Linked DNA regions of Rattus norvegicus. The protein of the gene in region 1 purifies or fractionates together with the protein of each later gene. This does not show direct contact. Links are inferred from orthologs where the notes say so. Each region holds a gene or a part of one and is shown in the gene's direction. Other genes may lie near its edges.

Region 1 (6,058 bases):
AGCTGGGGACTGAACCCAGGGCCTTGCGCTTGCTAGGCAAATGCTCTACCACTGAGCTAAATCCCCAACCCCATCCCAGCTCTTTTTAAGAGGTAGAGTTGGGCTGGAGAGATGGCTCAGGAGTTAAGAGCACTGACTGCTCTTCCAGAGGTCCTGAGTTCAAATCTCAGCAACTGCATGGTGGCTCACAATCATCTATAATGAGATCTGATGCCCTCTTCTGGTGTGTCTGAAGACAGCTACAGTATATCCATATAAATAAAAGAAATCTTAAAAAGTGGGGGGGGTAGAGTCAAAAGGCCAGAAGGATTGCTAAGTTTGAGGTCAGCCAGGGCTAAATGTAAAGAACCTGTTTTAAAACAACCCCCACCCATCCCCAAAAAAGTAGCTGGGACTAACAGCAATGTTGTCCTGTACCCAGCTTTGCTTTCCCCCACTTCCGAGCTCTCGTTCCTGGGTCCCTGAGCAAAAGGCTCTTTGCTCCCACAGCAACCTGCCTTGCCTGCCCCTCTGCTGTGTCTAGGCTTTGGTTTTACTTAGTCTGCGCTTCCACTGCCTTAAGAGCTTCTCACCAGGCAAGTAACATAAGAGTGGGCAAAGCATCTCGTGCACATCCGATGTTTGTCCTTGTCACAGGGTTCTGGCAGAGGCGGTTCTGTCCTTTCCCCTTGCGTTGACTGAGGTGACCCTGGGCATTGGCCGTGGCCGACGCGTCATCCTGCGCAGCTACCAGGAAGAGGAGGCAGGTGAGGGAGTTAGACCTGTCCCAGGAGGGCACAAGAGCTAGGAGTGACTCAAGGATGTTAACTCCTCTGTGCCTGCCACATAGATAGCACCAGCAAGGCCATGGTGACTGAGACGAGCATTGGGGAGGAGGACTTCCAGCAGCTGCATGCCCCAGAAGGGAGAGCTGTCACCTTCTGTCTCAAGGAATTTCGGGTGAGTTTACTATGGCTGTCACCTGGTCTTTTCAGCCAAACACAGGCTCTTACTACCTGCTTCTTCCTTCCCAGGGGCTCCTGAGCTTTGCAGAGTCTGCAAATTTGCCTCTTACTATCCACTTTGATGTTCCAGGCAGGTAATTCCAGGCTTTTAGGCTGGGTAGGAAGTAGGGCTCTAGGATGCCCAGAGCAGGATAACCCAGTTAGCCTTTCTGTCACTCAGGCCAGTCATCTTTACCGTTGAGGACTCTTTGCTAGATGCCCACTTTGTCTTGGCCACACTTTTAGAGCAAGACTCATGTTCCCAGGACCTGTGTTCCCCAAAGCCCCATCAGCCAGTGCCTCAGAAGCAGCCACACAGGTAAGGGTGCTAACTACCTCACTTTCCCTCCATTTCTGCACACTAAGGTTGAGCCTGCTACTTCTCACTTCTGCACCTCCCCCATGCATACTTCCTGTCAGGCCCAGCCTCTACAGGGCTTCCAGCCTTAATGGTCAGCTGTACTGAGACCCCTCCCATCCATAGAGGCATCCCCAAGGTCCTGCTGGCTTCCTTCTCTGGCTGAGGCCTCCCCTCTGAGCCTCTTTCCAGACTAGGAAAGAAAGCTGCTGGGAGGCAGGGAGCCGCCTGGTGTAGAGAAGCAGGTGGCTGGAAGGGCAGGTGGGTTGGGAGGCTGGGCTCAGTAGAGTAGAAGCAGAGGAAGTTTGGTCTGGCTCTCAGCCCAGCATATCCCTGGGCTCCTGAGCTCTCCAGCTCCTATCCCTTGGGAAGGTGAGAGATTGGGCCCCACGTGGCCCTGTTCACAGGACTTGTTGCTTTCCTCCCCCAGCTGAGCTAAATTGGCCCCAGGATCCTCCCTCAGGCCCCTACCTGAACTCTGATCAAAGGGGTTCCAGTTCCACCCCCTCCAGGAAGCTCCCACTTAACCCCTGCATCCTATCCTCCCAGCCAAATCAGGAAGTAATAAAATTGAAAGCTCACCAGCAGTCTTGAGGCCTCAAGCCCTCCTCTGAGCCCTCCAAAGTGGGGCCTGCCTCTGTATCCCTTTTTTCTCTGTACCTTCTTGATATTATCTCTGCCTACAGCACACCCCACTCAGATGACTTTACCAATGATGACATCGACTGTTACATGATTGCCATGGAAACCACCGTGGGCAACGAGAGCTCCCGGGCACAGCCTTCCACTTCCCTCCCACCTGTTCCCCAGGCCTCCCATGACCTTGCCCCTCCCTCAGAGGAGGAAGAGGAGGAAGCTGAGCCTAGTACAGTGCCTGGGACTCCCCCACCCAAGAAGGTAAAAGCTGAAGGTTGGGATAGGAACTGAGGGAAGGAAGGAAGCAGCTTCCAGAACTAACTAGGCTTTCTCTATTCTCTTTCCAGTTTCGTTCACTTTTCTTTGGCTCCATCCTGGCCCCTATACATTCCCCCCAGGGTCCCAACCCTGTGCTGGCTGAAGACAGTGATGGTGAAGGCTGAACTTGAGAAACTGAAGTCTGTGTCCAAAGGCTCACGGACCAGAAGCAGGCCCAGCCACAGGCAGAGTTGGGCATTAGTCTCTGGACATGAGAAAAGGACATGAGAAAAGGTCTATGCCTTGGGTAGGCCCCACTTGGCTGTCTGCTTCAGAGCTACCTAGGCAACCATGTTTGGTCTGTTTACTCAGCCTATACTCTGGTGCCCGGCTATCACCTGACAGATTCTTCACCTCTTACTTTGAGGCTCTACAGTATCTGGTCAGAGCCAGAAACTTAAGCTTCCTTAGGCTCACCTGCCTCTAAAAAAGATCAATGTTGAACACACGCTCTCTGCCAATCATGAACTCCCATCAGACCCTTCTGTGGTCCTAACACTTGGGCCTTGGCTTAGAATCCCAATTGCCTCTAGACCTGACTAGCCCTGGCTGGGCCCATGTCCAGCCACTGTCTGCCCTCCCCGGTGGCTTTGTACCAAAGGACTGCTGGCCCACTATCTGGGATGAGGGAGACAGAGGCCATGGCGAGAATCCAGCTTTGACCTTTATTCAAGAGACCAGATGGGTTGCCCCAGGATCTGGCTGCCAGCCATGCAAGGCTGGAGACCCACAATCTGGTCTGCCATTGCCCTGAGCTGCAGCCTTGGCCCCAGGATTCCACTTGCAGCCACCACAGGTGCTGGTGGGAGGGAGCCCTGGGGAATTAGATGCTGCTATTGATTCTTTAAAAAATAAAGGAAAGACACTTAACGCTGTGTTCCCCATGATGGGTGGGCCTGAGAGGCCAGTGTGACCCATGGCAGCATGATTTCTGTACAAATAATCCGTCATCTGGGGCAGAGGGCAGCACATGGAGGCTATTTCTTGGCTTTGGCAGAATTGCGGGGTGGAGTGATGGGACGGCCTCCGGGGTTCAGGCCACTGAACTGCCCATACTTCCCCTTATTCTTATCAGCGGGCTTGAGGATCTGAAAGAGAGAACCCTGATCAGGTCCTGGCACTGAGCCAGGCAGCCTCTTCCCCACACCCACCTGGGAGGAGCGCATAAGGATCTCTTCCCACACCCACCTGGAAGGAACACATGAGTGTCTCGTCCACACTCATCATGGCGCCAGCGTTGTCAAACTCGCCACAGTAGTTGGGAGCTGAGAAGAGTGTCACCAGCTGCCTCTTGGCAAAGAACTCATAGCCATCTTCTACAACCTGGGCAAGGACAGGAACCATTTGGTCTCTTAAGTTAAGCAGCTAGCCATCCCCACAGCCTGCCCCAGGCCACTAGCCCACCTGATGTGCTCTGCAGATGAGGTCCAAATCATGCTTGTGCAGGAACTTGGCTACAACCTCGGCCCCAAAGGTAAAGGAGACTCCACGGTCATTCTCGCCCCAGCCTTGAACATCCTTGTCAGGGTCAGACCACAGCAGATCACACAACAGGCCCTGGTCAGGCACGTCCGTGGGCCGCATAATACGTCTAATCTGCTCCATGGATTGCAAGTCTGGAGACAGGCCTGGGGTGGTAGAGTGAGAATAGTGTTCCTTACACCGAAAAGCAGGTACTATCCCATGCCCAGAAAGGTCTCAGGGGTCAGCTCCACTTTCCCCACCAACGCTGGGTTCATCTTTTGGGCTCCTTAAGTTTAGGGAAACAGAGTTCATTATATTCCTGCTGGCCCCATTTCTCTATGTGGCCTTGGCTGTCTGGGAACTCCCTTTGTTTTTTTTGTTTTTGTTTTTGTTTTTTTTTTTTTAGGAATATGTTTTTTCAGTTTTTTTTTTATTGGATATTTTATGTATTAACATTTTTTTTTCCCGGAGCTGGGGACCGAACCTAGGGCCTTGTGCTTGCTAGGCAAGCACTCTACCACTGAGCTAAATCCCCAACCCAGGGAACTCCCTTTGTATGCCACCGCCACCTGGCCATCCCTCAGCTTTTAGAAGTACAAAGAGTACGGGCTGGAGAGATGGCTCAGCGGTTAAGAGCACCCGACTGCTCTTCCAGAGGTCATGAGTTCAATTCCCAGCAACCACATGGTGGCTCACAACCATCTATAAAGAGATCTGGTGTATCTGAAGACAGCTACAGTGTACTCATATATAATAAATAAAATAAATATTTAAAAAAAAAAAAAAGAGTAGACCTCCGTGGGGGAAGGAGATGAATGAGTTGCCTATAGCATGCTAAATACCACAACAGGAAAGCGCAGTCGAACTGGGGTGTGTAGCCAGGTGAGGTGGTGCAGGCCTTTAGTCCCATCACTTGGAAGGCAGAGATAACCAGAACTCTTGTGAGTTCCAGAACACAGAAAAACCCTGTCTCAAAAACAAACTGGGCTGTGGGTGACCTGTAATAAGTGACAGCCAAATTCAAGGAGAGCTACTCCAGGAAACAGGAGAGTTCTGTTAACTTTCCAAGGCCCCTAAGGATATAGCCCAAGCACAGACCCCACAACCATCCTGACCTCCGTGGCAGCAGAAGATCTTCTCATCTACAATGGCTGCAATGGGCAGGCAGTTGAAGCAGTCGGTGAAAGTCTTCCACAGTTTGATGTTGTATCGTCTCTTGCCTGCACAGAAGAAAATGGCTCGTAGGGAAGACCACCCACCACACAAAACCCAGTCTATAGTTTTCTGTGCACTCCTCCAGGGTACTTTGTGGGTTACTCTGACAAAGTGCAAAGACTAGAAGGCAAAGAAAGCTTATTACAGTTTCCTTGCTCTGCCCTCATCTACCTTCCAGAATTCCAACACCTGGGTCCACAAGAACCTGAACTCCAGTCTGGCCTAACCTCAGTGTCTGGTTTATTCATAACATGCACCCTAAATGCTTAGTAAGGGATGCAATAGAGGGAAGTGTCATCGGGCAGGGCTGTGGAGGAAGCTTTAGCAAACGGGCAGCCCTGCATGTACATCCATTCACCAGGCCCTTCCTTGGTGCCATGGATAACAGACAGCTTGGTTGGGGCTTTGCAGGACCCATCATCAGGGTTCTCAGCACTAGAACAATTTAGGGGGCCCATGAAGTGCAGGAAATGTAGTTCTGGGCAACCAGCAACATTCAAAGCACTCACATTCATCATAGAAGCCATAGATGCGGTTGATGCTGGCACACTCATGGTTCCCACGTAGTAGAAAGAAATTCTCCGGGTATTTGATCTTATAGGCCAGCAACAAGCAGATGGTCTCCAAAGACTGCTTTCCCCGATCCACATAGTCCCCCAAGAAGAGGTAGTTGCTCTCTGGAGGGAAGCCACCATACTCGAACAGCCGTAGAAGGTCATAGTACTGGCCATGGATGTCACCTGGGAACCAGAGAAGACTAGGTAGGTCCAAGATGTAAACTTGAACCCAGGGCCAGCAACGGAAACACAGGTACTGGGGCAGGAGTAAGGGGCTATTTTGAGGAAGCTAAGGGGTTCTGAGCAAGGGCTTACCACAGATCTTGAGAGGCGCCTCAAGCTCCAGAAGAATAGGCTGGCTCAGGAAAATCTCCCGGGATTTGAGGCAAAGACCACGGATCTCGTTCTCTGTCAGCTGCACATTCTTTCCAGGCCGTGAGCCCTGCACTGGGTACGGAATAGGGTCTTGGGACCCTGACCTCGCAGACCGAATGTCATGCGCCCCTCCCCAACACCAGCAACTGTTG
Region 2 (6,738 bases), on another chromosome or scaffold:
CCAATTGATAAGCTATAATTGCCTACTTACACAAAGCCTGGTACCATCCATCCCTTAGGAACATTAATAACAACCTGTAAATACACAGAGCAGAATCTTAACATTACCTGCCATAGCTTCTCACCCTCTCCTCTGTCTAGTTCTTACTCTCTCTCCTAGTTCCTCCTATTCCTTCAAACTTCTCTCCCGCCCACCTTCCTTCTCCTCCAATGACAGACCTCCTTCTATCCTGTACCTGCCCCTCACCTGTACTTTACAGATTCAATGGGGAGAGGGTTCTGGTGAAGTCACCTGATTCCTAAGTAGTGACTAGGCAGCTGTCCTTGGAGCAGTGGAATTAGCATCAAAATACAGATAATTTCAAGGCAAACCACTACATGACTTGGTGTGCTATGTTGCAGTTTGTTGTTACTTTGTTGTCCTTGGGTTATGGAAAGGTGCAGGTGACTGGCTCCTACTTCCTTTCTAAGGAACTGGCATGCTTGCATCCAGAACTCATCTTATGGAACAATACAGACGGCATCTTAATTGATCGTTGACTTGCAAAAGAACTAGAAGAAGCTCAGTTGTGGATGTCCTGTAATCCTAGCATTGGAGAAACAGGGACCAAAAAGTGTAAGGGCCCAGTGGGAGGTAACAGTAAGTCTGGGATTCATCCTCTATATGGTGATCACTGGGTCCCTGCCTCTTAATGGATAGAACATAGCATAAATGCAGAAGCAGACAGGATTGTCACACATTCCCTTGTGTCTGTGGTGTATGAAAGCTTGAAAGCTTGAAATACCTGACCCTCTATAATGCCATCACCAGAGAGAGAAGTTTATTAGAGGAAATCCTGAGGGTACCCATGAGCAAATGGTGGTCATGAAGAGTATGATGGTTTGAATGAGAATGGCCCCCAATGGCTCATATGTGTGTGCTTGGTTTTTGGTTGATCAATTGTTTGGGAAGGTTAGGAGATATGGCTTTGTTGGAGGAGGTATGTTGTTGCCGGTAGGCTTTGAAGTTTGAAACGTCCACACCAGGCCCAGTGTCTCTGTCTCTGTCTGTTTCTCTTAGTCTGCGTCTTTTAGTCTATCTCTTAGTCTGTTTCTTAGTCTGTCTCTGTCTCCCTCCCTCCTTCCCTCCTTTTGTGGGTCAAGGATATAAAGTTCTTAGCTACTGCCTTACCACCATGTGAACTAATTCTGAACCTGTTAGCAAGCACCCAATTAAATGCTTTTTTAAAAAGACTTGCCTTGGTCATAATGTATCTTCACGGCAATGGAACAGTAAATAAGACAAAAGAGGAACTGAAAGTTTACAGAAGCAACTGATTGTTCTGACTTCCTAGCTGAGATGCTGCTGCCTTCAAGCTAAGATTGGGATGAAATTGAGGACTTGCTTTGGGCCAGGAGTAAGATGAAGAAACCAGTCAGATCCTGGTCTCTAAGACACCTTAGTCAGAGACTTGGGCCATCATCTTGGAGGCCCTGCCTAGTTGAAGAAGGAGCCGAGCAGACATCCTGCTGTAATAGAATAAATATAGAAGTTCCAGCTGCATCCTCTGTATTTCACATGGGTCAGGACTCCAGGAGCACCAGAGAAAAGACAAATACATTTCACATACACAGATGTAGTATTTTCTTAAGGGCAAAGAACATCATAAATAATATGAAAACCAAAGACTTATCTGGACCATATTTACAGGGACAGAGGGTTAATGTTCTTGCCAGAGTTTTTATTCTTTTGTTATTAATTTATTTATTTGAGATAAAAAATCTCACTGTATAGCTCTGACTGGCCCAGAATGTAACTCTAACTTTCCTTAAACTTGTGATCCTTCCTTCTTGCCTTTGGCCCCAGTGTTGAAATTATTGGTACGTGTCACCAGCCTGGTCCTATCAGAGATCTTAAAAAGCAAGCAACAAACTACATACAAGGAATGTAAAGTTGACATACATACATTGCAAGTTGAAGCCATGTTATTCTACTTATCATATCACTACATACAAAATAGATTGTTATATGACGCTACTGACAGAAGGTATGTTGATAGAATTTTCTCTGGGACAGTTTGGTAACAGAAGAGTTTTATATGTACATGCTATGACCAAGAGTTCCCCTTTAAATTTAACACAAGTAAATACTGACAAAAGTAAATGTATTTTGTATAACAGATGTTTATTATTCCAGTAATAGGTCAAAATTGAATCATGTGAATTCCTCTTGTGAAATAATTATTTTTATCAATATACTGGGAAACTAGCCATGAAAATGATAGACTTGTTAGTGTTTAATGGTATGGAATGATATCCATTATGTATGTATTTTAGGTGCAAATAAAATGTGTCTAGTGTATCACATTGTTTATAAGGCATGTAGTAACTAACATCTGCAAGTAATATCTGTACTGAACAAAACTATAATATATATTAGGTATATATATGTAACAAATGTTTTAAAAGGGTTGGTTATTTCAGTGGTACTTTAAATTGTGGTCACACTATATAGAGTGACCTTCTTATGAGCAGATCAGAAGCAGTGACGTATTCAAATAGGGCAGGTATGTGGGAAGGTAAAGATGGGTCCAGAGACCGCCCTAAGCATCACCCTATAGTGTTTGACCTAGGTGTCCTCAGGTGGAAGTGGACCTGCAGGGATGTGGAACCCAAGTATAGGCAGTGCTGGGGCAGGGGGGAGGCGCAGTAGAACGCACCCCAGGCATGGTAGGTGAGGCGGTTGCGCCCCAGGCCGGAAGGTTAAGCATGTTACACTCCGGGCCGGAAGAGTGAGCCAGCTGACTACTCTGGCAGCGGTTTCCTCACAGCGCTCCCTCTACCACCTAGGCCCCATGAAGTTTCGGGCCAGGATCACCAGCAAGCGTTTTATAGAGCTCTTCATACAGGTCAACAGCACCATAGCAAAGCTGACGAAGGTCTGTGTGCTCCGCGTGTGCCCTGACAGGCTGTGCTTCTGTCCAATGGGGCTGCTGAGTGAGGCCAAGCTGTGGGGTGAGGTGAGGCGGAATGTCTTCCACCACTTCTGCATGGAGGGTGTTTCGCAGGAGTTCAATGAAATCTATCTAGAGCTAACGTCTGAGCATCTGGCCAGAGCCGTGAGGAATGCAAGCAACGCTTCATCCCTGAAGCTGCAGCTCACCAACAAGCTGCGCCCCTGCCTTACTGTGGTGGTAGAGCTGGCATCGTGCCCCGGCCACACCCGCGCTATGGTCCACGATCTGCCTGTGAGGGTACTTCCCAGAAGGTGGTGGAAAGAATGCACAGAGCCCCATGTTCGGGGCTCTGACGTGAGTGTTTATCTGCCTGCTATGAAGACCTTGAAGAACATGGTGGAAAGGATGGCAAATGTGGGCAGTCACGTGCTGGTGGAAGCAAATCTAAAAGGCAAAATGAACTTGAGTGTAGAAACTGATGGAGTGACTATTAAAAGCTATTTTAGAAATCTTGGAAGTCCTCCAAATGCCGTTCTGGGTATGTCTCAAGGCAAAGACCCAGACAACATGGTACAAGTACGGGTGGATAATAGGAAACTTCTACGGTTTTTTGACGGACAGCAGATAAACCCCACAATGGCCTTATGTAATATTTTGAGCAATACCCTACTTCATCTTGTTTTGGTTCACGAAGATATTTCTCTTCAGTATTTTATTCCTGCCTCATGAATTTCAAGCAGCCTTAATTTTCTTTTTAAAAGAAATCTTAATTTAAGTTCTTTCCAGAACTGAGACTTTGAGTTACTTTCGTTAAAAGCTTGCAACCCTGTGGATTTTGTAGGGTGTTGATTTTGTTGAGTGCTTCCTTTGTAAATTGTTAAGAAATAATTGCAAGTTCATGTGATTGCTTTTTGGCTTTGACCATTACCTTACATTCAACTTAGTTGTTTGGGAATAAAGGATTGTAATAAAACAATTAACTGAATCCTGAAACAATTATATTATTTTTTATGAAAAATATTGTGAAGAATGAGAAATTTCTCCTTTTAAAATAATCATAAATTATTTTGAGAGACTTAATGATCTCAGTCTCTAAAGGTATAAGATGAATTTTTGTATGTATATCATATATTCAGAGATAACTGTTTTCTGAAGGTTCTCAGTGGAAGTCTTAACATTACTGGGGAATAGCCACTTTAGAGAGTTTAAACTCTCAAACAATTTACTTTCTCACTTCTGAGTTGGAAGCATAGGATTGTTTGGTTTGGTGACTATTTAAGTGTGAGGACTATATGTAAAAGCTGTTTTGGGAAAGCTTCAGCATCTTCAGGCTATGTGTATGTGTGTGTGTCTGTGGTGTAACACAGGCATGCTTTGTGATTCTGTTAGTAAGCTTAAACACAATGACAAATGCAACTTACAGAAAGAAGGGTTTTCTGGCTTACGGTATTTTGAGCAATAAGAATACATCATGGTAGGGAATCTTGGCAGCATATGACAGTTATGGTACAGGAATAGCTAAGAGCTCAAACCCTAGATTTTATGTATGAAGCAGAGCTTTAACTGGGAATGGCATGTGGTTTTAAAACCCCAAAGTCCTATGACATACTTCCTCTAAAAAAGCTGTACCTCCTAAACCTTGCCCAAATAGCACTACTAACAGAAACCAAGTATTCCGATGATGGAGACTGTGAGGAATTTCATTCAGATCACTGCATACTCATTTGAGCCATGTCTTCTAGCTTTTTCCATTGTATTTCATATAAACGAGAAATAAATTTCAAGCTATAATAAAGAATATGTGTATGTATAATATATACACATATATGGTGTGTGTGCGTGCATGTGTGTGCGTGCATGTGTGTGTTTCTACATAGAGTGTATTGAGACCAGAGAACAAGCCTTTCAGGATCTTGTCTTTAGAGCCATGGTTTCTTATTGTCCTGGAGCTTTCCAAGTAGGGTAGGCTGGCCAGCCAGTGGTCTCTAAGAATCTGCTTATTTATGCCTCCCCAAATACAAATGTATGCCACTACACTTTTCTGTTTGTTTTGATTTGTTGGTTTTCATCATGGCTTCTGGAGATTGAATTTGGATCCTTATGCTTGAGCAGTAAGCACGTCAGGGTTGGCTGTCCTATAATTCATTGCACATCTCTGGAGTTTAGTTTATTCAGATCTCTTCTTTCTCAACTTTGTGAATACCAGCACATCCCTTTCTGCTAATCAAAGTCACCATTCTCAATGATTACCAGCAGTAACATTTCTGTTAGACAACTTTTCTCTATAATGGCAGTGGTAATTCCTCACTTTCATTAAGATGTCATGCTACTGTTTTTTGGCAACAGGGAAAGCAGAACATTTGTACTTAGAAACTTGGTTCTAAGTTCTATGTGAACTAGACTAGATTCTCAAAGTAGTCCAAAGAAGCCAATTTGGGCTGTAATTTCAACAGTGTCAGTAAGCTAATTATTCACTCAGAGAACTCAATTTTCCATGCCAATTAAAGGAGAGTTTACCTTTGTCAAGAATTGGTTTGTGGATGTTAATCCATGAAACAAGTTATTTATCTAATCTTTCCTTGTCTATTTTCTGTACAGTAAGTGTTATAGTATCTTTGGAACAACATAATTATTCACTAAAAGAGTTGTTAAACCCCCATGTATGTCCTTAATTTTTTATTAATCCATTACCAGGCTAAATTCTACATTATAGTTTCCGGGAATATGCATAAGTATTTGAAACACTATTATGTCTTCTTTTAGAGGACTAGTAAAAGAGAGCAATAGTTATCCCTTTAAAAGAATAATTATTTGTAAAATGCCATTTTATATAAAATTAACTATTAACTGTTAGCCTATTGATATTCTCTATTTAAAATCAGTTTATTGGCCACTTGTTTGTGTATTTGGTCAATGTTAGATATAAATATATTTCTCATGAGTTTTTAGTTGACGTGAATTGAATGGGATGTTAATCTGTTGCATTTATGTTTTAATTCAAAATTATATCAGAACATTGTTTTTTTAACTTTATTTTGAGATAACTTAAATTTAAAAAATAAGTCTTTTTTTTTTTTTTTATTAACTTGAGTATATACATTTCGAGTGTTATTCCCTTTCCCGGTTTCTGGGCAAACATCCCCCTCCCCCCTCCCCTTCCTTATGGGTGTTCCCCTCCCAACCCTCCCCCCATTGCCGCCCTCCCCCCATAGACTAGTTCACTGGGGGTTCAGTCTTAGCAGGACCCAGGGCTTCCCCTTCCACTGGTGCTCTTACTAGGATATTCATTGCTACCTATGGGGTCAGAGTCCAGGGTCAGTCCATGTATAGTCTTTAGGTAGTGGCTTAGTCCCTGGAAGCTCTGGTTGCTTGGCATTGTTGTACTTTTGGGGTCTCGAGCCCCTTCAAGCTCTTCCAGTTCTTTCTCTGATTCCTTCAACAGGGGACCTATTCTCAGTTCAGTGGTTTGCTGCTGGCATTCGCCTCTGTATTTGCTGTATTCTGGCTGTGTCTCTCAGGAGCGATCTACATCCGGCTCCTGTCGGTCTGCACTTCTTTGCTTCATCCATCTTGTCTAATTGGGTGGTTGTATATGTATGGGCCACATGTGGGGCAGGCTCTGAATGGGTGTTCCTTCAGTCTCTGTTTTAATCTTTGCCTCTCCCTTCCCTGCCAAGGGTATTCTTTTTCCTCATTTAAAGAAGGAGTGAAGCATTCACATTTTGATCATCGGTCTTGAGTTTCGTTTGTTCTAGGGATCTAGGGTAATTCAAGCATTTGGGCTAATAGCCACTTATCAATGA
Region 3 (7,212 bases), on another chromosome or scaffold:
TCTGGGTACATGTGACCTTTCCATCAGGAGGCACCATTTAGTCCAGTGATTCAGACAAGACTGCCCTGTAGGTAGGTCCCCTTCAGCACCCTCAAGATGGGTGGCCTCTGTCATTCAGTGGAAATAAGGCTTAAATCCCTTATCCACTGGCAGATCCTCTGTCTTTGGTAAAAGCTAACACCAGGAAAGACTGAGTGCAGGGGTGACCATGGTATGGGGTGAGTCCTGTGTTTTCCTGTGGAGTAGGGCTGGTGCCATCCTGTTGAAGACCCGTTGTGTGCAGCTCCTGCTAACACTGCTGGGAGGGAAGAACAGCTTCAGGAGCCTGGAAAAATGAGACCTGGGAGAGGGGAGCAGGATGTGTTCTGGTTCTAGCGTGTTGGCACCCTTCCTTCAGCATCTTGTTCTGCTGAGTGACTCGGTGTGGGCAGATCTGTGTGGGGACACTGGTCTCTCCGTGCTGCTGGCTCTTGCTCCCTGAATGCTCCTAGACTTTCAGACATGGGCTGCAGGGAAGTGTGCAGAGTCAGCTCAGACAAGGTGGGTCTCAACAACCTCAGACAGCATCTTGTACAGAGGGATGGGAGCTCTTGGACGGGGGGCCAGATCTTGAGGAAGAGTGCTAGAATTGTGGAGGTGATAAAAAGGTGCATTTGTGCGCTCTGATGGTGCGTGTCCTAGCTGTGCAAGTTGGGCGTGCTGACTCACACTGGACCGAGTCCACGCACTCCAGAGATGGGGGCAGGTGGGTCACCTGGAGTCTGAGCCCAGCGTGAGCTCCATATACACTGAGAGCTACACAGGATGGGGGCTGAGCTGAACTGTTGCTCATGTCCCATAATACCCTCTACCCCCACAGGCCACGTTCTCACTCTCAGTATCCTTAAGCTTCCCTGGGTCCTCTTATGTGAAGTGTTTGGTTTCTCTCCCAGTGATTGAGAAGTTCACTGAAAACACCAGGTTTTGCCTCATCTGTAACTACCTGTCCAAGATCATCCCTGCCTTGCAGTCACGGTGCACGAGGTTCCGATTTGGCCCTCTGACGCCTGAGCTCATGGTTCCTCGGCTAGAACATGTGGTACAAGAAGAGAAGTGAGTTTGTTTTAGAAGAAGGAAGAGGGGAGGTGTGGGGATTTGAGTGGCAGGGAGGTTGGGCAGAGTGGCTAATCGGAGGGAGTGTTGGCTACTGCCATCTCCTGTGGGCCCTGGATAGTCTGTCTCCTGAACCCTTGGTTCCACACCTACATTCCTGCAGGCTGTTCCCTCTGTTTTGTCTTGGGAACTGACTGTTGCTGAGTCCCTTTTTGCAGATGCTGCCAGCTGGCTGGAAGGGAAGGCTCTGCTCTGAGATCCACTCTGGGCCGTCAGATACCGAGCAGTGGCCTCTTCCCAGAAATGTCTCTTTCAGCAGCCACCTCCTTAAAGCCTTGGTCCATAGTAAAGCTCTGGCTGGATCCAGCTACTCATGTGACACACGTCCCTAAGCACTGCAGTAACTCAGATGTTCAGGAGAGTCCTGTCACCTCCGTTTTGATGTTTTCCTTCTTTTAAAGCTTCGTCACTCAAGGATCATACGGTTGATGAAATTTTGCTCTTTGCAGACAGCTTCAGTTAACTCTTACCCATTTCCTTTTAGCGTGGACATAAGTGAAGATGGAATGAAGGCCCTTGTCACTCTGTCCAGTGGGGACATGCGAAGGGCTTTGAACATTCTGCAGGTATGATCAGTCACACTGCAGGTTCTTCAAACCATTGCTTCAAAATAGTTTTCTAAGAAAGACAGCCAGCTGATCCACACATTCATTCAGAAACCTATTAAGATTCTCCTTGTCGTGCACCAGCTCTGCCTGTGCGCTCTAATGGGAAGTCCCGGTGCTGCTCTAAGCTATGGGAGGACGCTGCAGCTCTACTGCATGGGGCAGCATTCACAGTGGAGGGCAGCCCTCCCCACTGTCCTGGGCCTGTGTCATGTCACTGGCAGGACAGCTGCTGACAGTCCCTGGACCCCCTCCTCCTGCAGAGTACCAATATGGCCTTTGGGAAGGTGACAGAGGAGACTGTCTACACCTGCACCGGGCACCCACTCAAGACGGATATTGCCAATATTCTAGACTGGATGCTGAATCAAGACTTCACCACTGCCTACAAAAGTATCCTTTTTGGTGACTGTTGCCAGGTTCAGGCCTGGGGTGCGGGGGGCTCGAAGCCCAGGCTACAGCCAGCACCTATACCTGCCGGGTGACAGGTGTCAGCTGATGGGAAGCAGGTATCCCCAAGCAGAGAGCCCTTCTCCTCAATGGCTCCAGCCCAAGTGAGTGAGGCTGTATGTAGCTTCTCCGTTCACGGCAGTTAAATGGACTCATGACCTTGTTCTGCAGTTAAATGAAAGCTACAGGTGGCTGTGTGACCCTTCAAAGAGAGGTCTGCTCTGCTGTCTGAGGAATAGGGCTGTACTGTGTAGAAAAGCCTTATTGAAGGTAACGGGTCAAGTTAGAATTGGACCTGTGTACAGCTACTGGGATGAAGACCCCTATTTCCAGGTCGGCCTCCAGGGTCTGCTGTTGAAGCCTCCCCACAGCATGTTCTGGAATGGTTCCTCTCACCTTAGCTGCTTTTCCCTAGATATCATGGAGCTGAAGACTCTGAAGGGCTTGGCACTGCACGACATCTTGACAGAGGTTCACTTGTTTGTGCACAGAGGTAACTGGGCTGGATAGGAGGCACAGCTTTGGGATGGCCACAGAGAGCATAAGGTCTTAGCTCTTGAGCAGAAACAGGAAGAGGGTGACTGATCCTTAATCTTGAGCGGTTCTGAATGGCTTTGTTGCAGCCCCTTTTTAATACCTGGAGCTGCATAGAGGCTTTTTCCTAAAGGGGACTTTTTGGATAGGAAGTACTGTATCTTTCATTCTTGTTACATGCTCCCCATGCCAGGGACTGAATCCAGGGCCTTGTACATGTGAAGCATGTAATCTACCACAGGGCTGTATCCACACCCTTGCTTCTGGGGTCTGCACCCAGACACTTGGAAGTCACCTGTGTGCTCCTGTAAACTAGGCAGCCTCCAGGAAGCTGCCTTTCTGCTCCTGTTTACTGCCTTGTTTCAGCGATCAGTCTCAGCATGGGCAGAACCTGGGAATCACCCCAGACCATTCAGGATGAGGCAAGGGGATGTCAGCCTTTGGAAGAGGCCCTAGGGGCTCCTCCACATAGCCTTTTCTCCCAGCAGCCACCCCCAAATGGAGAGGCTCTCAGGTCCCAGGACTGTGAGCCTGTGTGGACTCTGTTGCTTAAGTTTGTCCTCTGGGTAACATGAGCCTTCTGGTTAGTTTACCTGGTTAGTGAACCTGGTTAGTGAGCTTTCTGCCACCTCCAATGGATAGGGTCTGAGGCTGCTTGGGATGGGGCTGTGTGTGTGTGTGTGTGTGTGTGTGTGTGTGTGTGATGGAACTCATCTCGTCCTGAGCTGCACCCCAGCCTGTGTGTGCTAGAAAGCAGTGGGGCCTACACCGGGCTCAGTTCATCGGTCTGGTGACCTACATGCAGTGGGTCGGAGGGATGCTCATGCTTGTCAAAAGTCCTGTGTGCGGGGGGATCCTGCTCATTAGATTCTGTTTTTCCCTCAGTTGACTTTCCGTCTTCAGTTCGGATGCATTTATTGACCAAAATGGCAGACATTGAGTGAGTGTTTTCCCATTTCAATTCTTTGGCTTTAGTTTCAGCTTCTGTGCCATTCACACATGGGGCAGTCTGGTTTGGGGTAGTGCCCAGTGCACTGTGGAGAAGGCTGTGTGCTGCCTCCAGAGCCCAGGGCAGCGGTGCGGAGGATGAGCACAGAGCGGCCTCTGCGCGAGTTGAGCCCTTGCTCTCCTCACACTGGGCGTGCAGACAGGAGATGGCCAGCTACTCTGCTTACTAAGGCATTGTGGCACACATGAGCACAGTAAACACTGTCACTACTCCCCAGTGACGCTGGCAGCTGTCATTTAAGTGGACAGCACACTGGGCTCCAACCAAATACTAGTATCACAAGTTCCAGGAGGCTGTCACTAGCTCATGTACACAAAGTAGGTCACGTCCTATCACTATTGGGAGTGATTTTGCTTTTAGTGGCCAGGCATTTAAAAGTAACAAGATGAGCTGCTAGTTCCTGCTTTACTGCCCTGTCATAAACCTCCAGCTCTCTGCTGCAATGCCACAACCAGAGGAGCATCTGCAGAGCTTATAGCACGGTCCCTAACCCTCACCCCATGCACCCTGCCTTCTGTGCGTAGAGGGAGGATGGATGCCGAGTGCAATTCAGAACCTCCTGGTGCTGAGTTTCTAATCTGCCCTCGGCAGCTTCAATCAAATGGCCAACTGAGTGCCAGGGAGAAGAAACTTGAAGGACACAGACCAGAGTCCTCACCAGGGTGTGTCTGTCAGCTCCAGTGCCTTTTGTGCAGGCTACAGTAGCTCCCACATTCTCGCCGATAGGCAGGGCCTAGCGTTTGCTTTATACTCAACTTGGGCTGTTCTCCCCAGGTACAGGCTCTCTGTCGGCACCAGTGAGAAGATCCAGCTGAGCTCCCTCATTGCTGCTTTTCAAGTTACCAGGGACTTGATAGTTGCAGAGGCCTAGAAAACCCAAGGCCTGAGTTGCAGAAGCCTAGAAACTTGGCCCTTGCTCAGGCCCATCGGTGACTGGAGGACAGAAGACATGCTGCCCTGGGCCAGTGGATAAAATCAGTCACAGACTTTTCTCCCCAGGCATTTAGATAGTGCTATCTGTGGCTGTTTGGAGCAGGGATCTACAGAGCAACTTTAATCTGGAAGAATCCATTCTGCTTGTCTTCTATAGGGGAAAATACCCCGCCCCGTGGAGAGGGCTGCTTTAAAGTCGTCACTGTCACTCTCTGGGATGACAAAATTGGCTGCAGTGTTCATGTGGAAACTGAGTGTGCTTCAGTGTCTCCCAACTCTGAATGGGTGCCAGGAGGATTCTGATCTAATGTTTTGTTAAGAATTTCAAAATCAGGGGTTGGGAATTTAGCTCAGTGGTAGAGCGCTTACCTAGGAAGCGCAAGGCCCTGGGTTCGGTCCCCAGCTCCGAAAAAAAGAACCAAAAAAAAAAAAAAAAAGAATTTCAAAATCAGTCTCTTCTGCCCCTAACCTCAGGACTCAGGAGGCCGAGGCAGAAGTGCCAGGCAGTTGGCAGTTGCAGGCCAGCGTAGTGAGACAGACCCTGCTTACCAGCAGATTCCAAATTCTATTGTGAAAATAGGAAAGAAATTCCAACACAGTTGGCCTTCAGACTGCGTGCCTGCCTTGTTGGGAAGGGATGGGGCAAACTTCCCTGTATTCACAGCAAGTACTCCCCAGTGAGAATAAAGTGTTCTGTGTTCTAATCCGCACTGGCCTGTCTGCCTGTGTTTCTGTTACCTTGGGACCAGACTTCCCTTGGGCTAGATGAGGGACTGAAGGCACCCAGTGCAATGTGCTGCATCTCAGGGGGAGATGTTTCAGCATGTGCTGTCAAAGGGAGACATCGGTTTTCTTGTCCATGGGGCGTTTGCTCCCCAAGTTCCAAGCTGAGTCTGAAGTTGTGGCCCTGTGGCCAGTGCTGGAGGCGGCATCTCAGCTGCATAGCGGCGCAGAGCCACCCACTGGTGCCCTCTCCTGGGCTTGGTCTAAAAGACGTCTTTGCTTCTTTCGTAATAGGAAAAAAAAGGACAGAGACAGGATTTTTTTTTTTCCTTTTTCTTTTTCTCTTTTCTCCCTTCAATGAAAGCCTCATTTGCAATGTACTTCTTCAAATAACAGAGGGGATCCTGTGCACACTGCAATGTTAGCACTGCCTCCATAAAGCATCAATTAAGAAAGGCCCAAGAGTAGGATGCTGTTTCTTTTAAAATAATTTAAAATATATTAACTTTCCTAAGGCAGATTTTGTGTGAGGCGTGTTGAATAGGTAGCTGCTACCGCTGCCAAAGAACGGTGCTTGGAAGGGGCTGTCTGTTCTGGGCAGTTGGAGTTGGAGGGTAAATCCCGTGAGGTCAAGCAGCAGAGACAACGCACGTGACAGCACAAGCCAGTGATGTCAACACTGACTCCACACGGCTAAGACTTGGCTCACAACTGGGCCACTTAGGAACCCTGGTTCTTAGAGACAATTGAGAAAACACAGTTGTACCTTAGTATCTGCTGAGAAAACACATAAATATGATGCTGATAGTGGCCGTCTGGCCGTCATGCAGTTGAGGAACACCTTGTATGATCTGATATACTCGCTTGTCCTTTTCTATACATGCACACCACTGTTGAAAGGAAAATAAAAGCCGGCTAGTGTTTGCTGAGGAGCACAGCCCAGTTTGTGTGCAGCTGAGTACGGAAGCAAATATCAAAGTCCCTCTCACCAGAACAGAGGGAACTTCAAACCATGCAGCTGCTGCCTGGAAATAGGCTGCAGGGACCCTACGTGGCAGGCACTTCCCAGTTAAGGGAGTGTGGACTTGGCCACCACCAGAGAGGCTCTGGAGCCTGCTTGCTTTTATTACCCACACGACTTCCACAACTGCACTTGGCTTCAACACAACTAGACTGACAAAGGCTGCTCACAACGGACGAAGGCGAGGTAAGGCTGGCACCACGGAAGTGGGATCACTCAGACCTACTTGCACATGCCATGGGGAGGAAGGTCCACACTGGTCCAGCGTGGTCTGCCTGGCTCCATCCTCGCCAGTCCCTTGTACTGGTTCTGCTGCAGGAGATGGGGGCTGGCACTGCTACAAAGTCCTGTACGTGAGGAAGTCTTTCATCTTCTTGGGGATTGGCAGTGCTAGGACTTGATACGTAGTCAGGAAACGTCGGAGGGCTTTCCTGCATAAGTGCTTCAGTGAGGACAGGACTCGCGGAGCCGTCCAGAACTGGACATGGCCATCTCTCGTCCTGAAACAACAGAGGCTAGTGCTTAGCAGCCCCAGAGAGCTGTTTTCATTATAGTGGACAGTGGTGGTTCTGGGTTGACCTGAAATGGAGACTCCAGAAGCTGAAGTGCGTCTGGACGAAAGAGACTTCAAACTCTGGGTAATGACTGCTGTGTGGTGGTGTCCTTAGAACCAGGATGTGACCCATGCCTGTGGTCCCAGCTGCTTCATAAGATTAATGTCGGGTGAAACCCAAACCCAGGAACTCAAGACTAGTGGGTTTTGAGACTTTCCAAAAACAATAAAA

The links.
Region 2: the proteins of Rad9a (region 1) and Hus1b purify together in Homo sapiens (co-immunoprecipitation; 3 studies listed by BioGRID and IntAct, counting the BioPlex papers as one, with this or other methods). This does not show direct contact. The link is inferred for Rattus norvegicus from reciprocal best matches to the Homo sapiens genes RAD9A and HUS1B.
Region 3: the proteins of Rad9a (region 1) and Rfc5 purify together in Homo sapiens (affinity purification with mass spectrometry; 3 studies listed by BioGRID and IntAct, with this or other methods). This does not show direct contact. The link is inferred for Rattus norvegicus from reciprocal best matches to the Homo sapiens genes RAD9A and RFC5.

The regions. Positions count from the first base shown.
Region 1 is NC_086019.1:210,915,077-210,921,134, reverse strand, and holds the end of Rad9a (RAD9 checkpoint clamp component A), read left to right. Parts: intron 1-636; coding exon 637-746; intron 747-829; coding exon 830-939; exon of another isoform or gene 940-1,000; intron 1,001-1,013; coding exon 1,014-1,078; intron 1,079-1,164; coding exon 1,165-1,302; intron 1,303-2,027; coding exon 2,028-2,238; intron 2,239-2,324; coding exon 2,325-2,420; 3' UTR 2,421-3,165; downstream 3,166-6,058. Other genes in the region: Ppp1ca (serine/threonine-protein phosphatase PP1-alpha catalytic subunit), read right to left, coding at 3,273-3,383, 3,484-3,618, 3,700-3,923, 4,875-4,979, 5,484-5,714, 5,847-5,978. UniProt on the Homo sapiens protein: Component of the 9-1-1 cell-cycle checkpoint response complex that plays a major role in DNA repair. The 9-1-1 complex is recruited to DNA lesion upon damage by the RAD17-replication factor C (RFC) clamp loader complex.
Region 2 is NC_086035.1:33,739,938-33,746,675, forward strand, and holds Hus1b (checkpoint protein HUS1B), read left to right. Parts: upstream 1-2,752; 5' UTR 2,753-2,833; coding exon 2,834-3,664; 3' UTR 3,665-3,920; downstream 3,921-6,738.
Region 3 is NC_086030.1:44,872,760-44,879,971, forward strand, and holds the end of Rfc5 (replication factor C subunit 5), read left to right. Parts: intron 1-932; coding exon 933-1,092; intron 1,093-1,636; coding exon 1,637-1,718; intron 1,719-2,020; coding exon 2,021-2,150; intron 2,151-2,622; coding exon 2,623-2,700; intron 2,701-3,626; coding exon 3,627-3,681; intron 3,682-4,524; coding exon 4,525-4,621; 3' UTR 4,622-5,120; downstream 5,121-7,212. Other genes in the region: Wsb2 (WD repeat and SOCS box-containing protein 2), read right to left, coding at 6,765-6,927. UniProt on the Homo sapiens protein: Subunit of the replication factor C (RFC) complex which acts during elongation of primed DNA templates by DNA polymerases delta and epsilon, and is necessary for ATP-dependent loading of proliferating cell nuclear antigen (PCNA) onto primed DNA.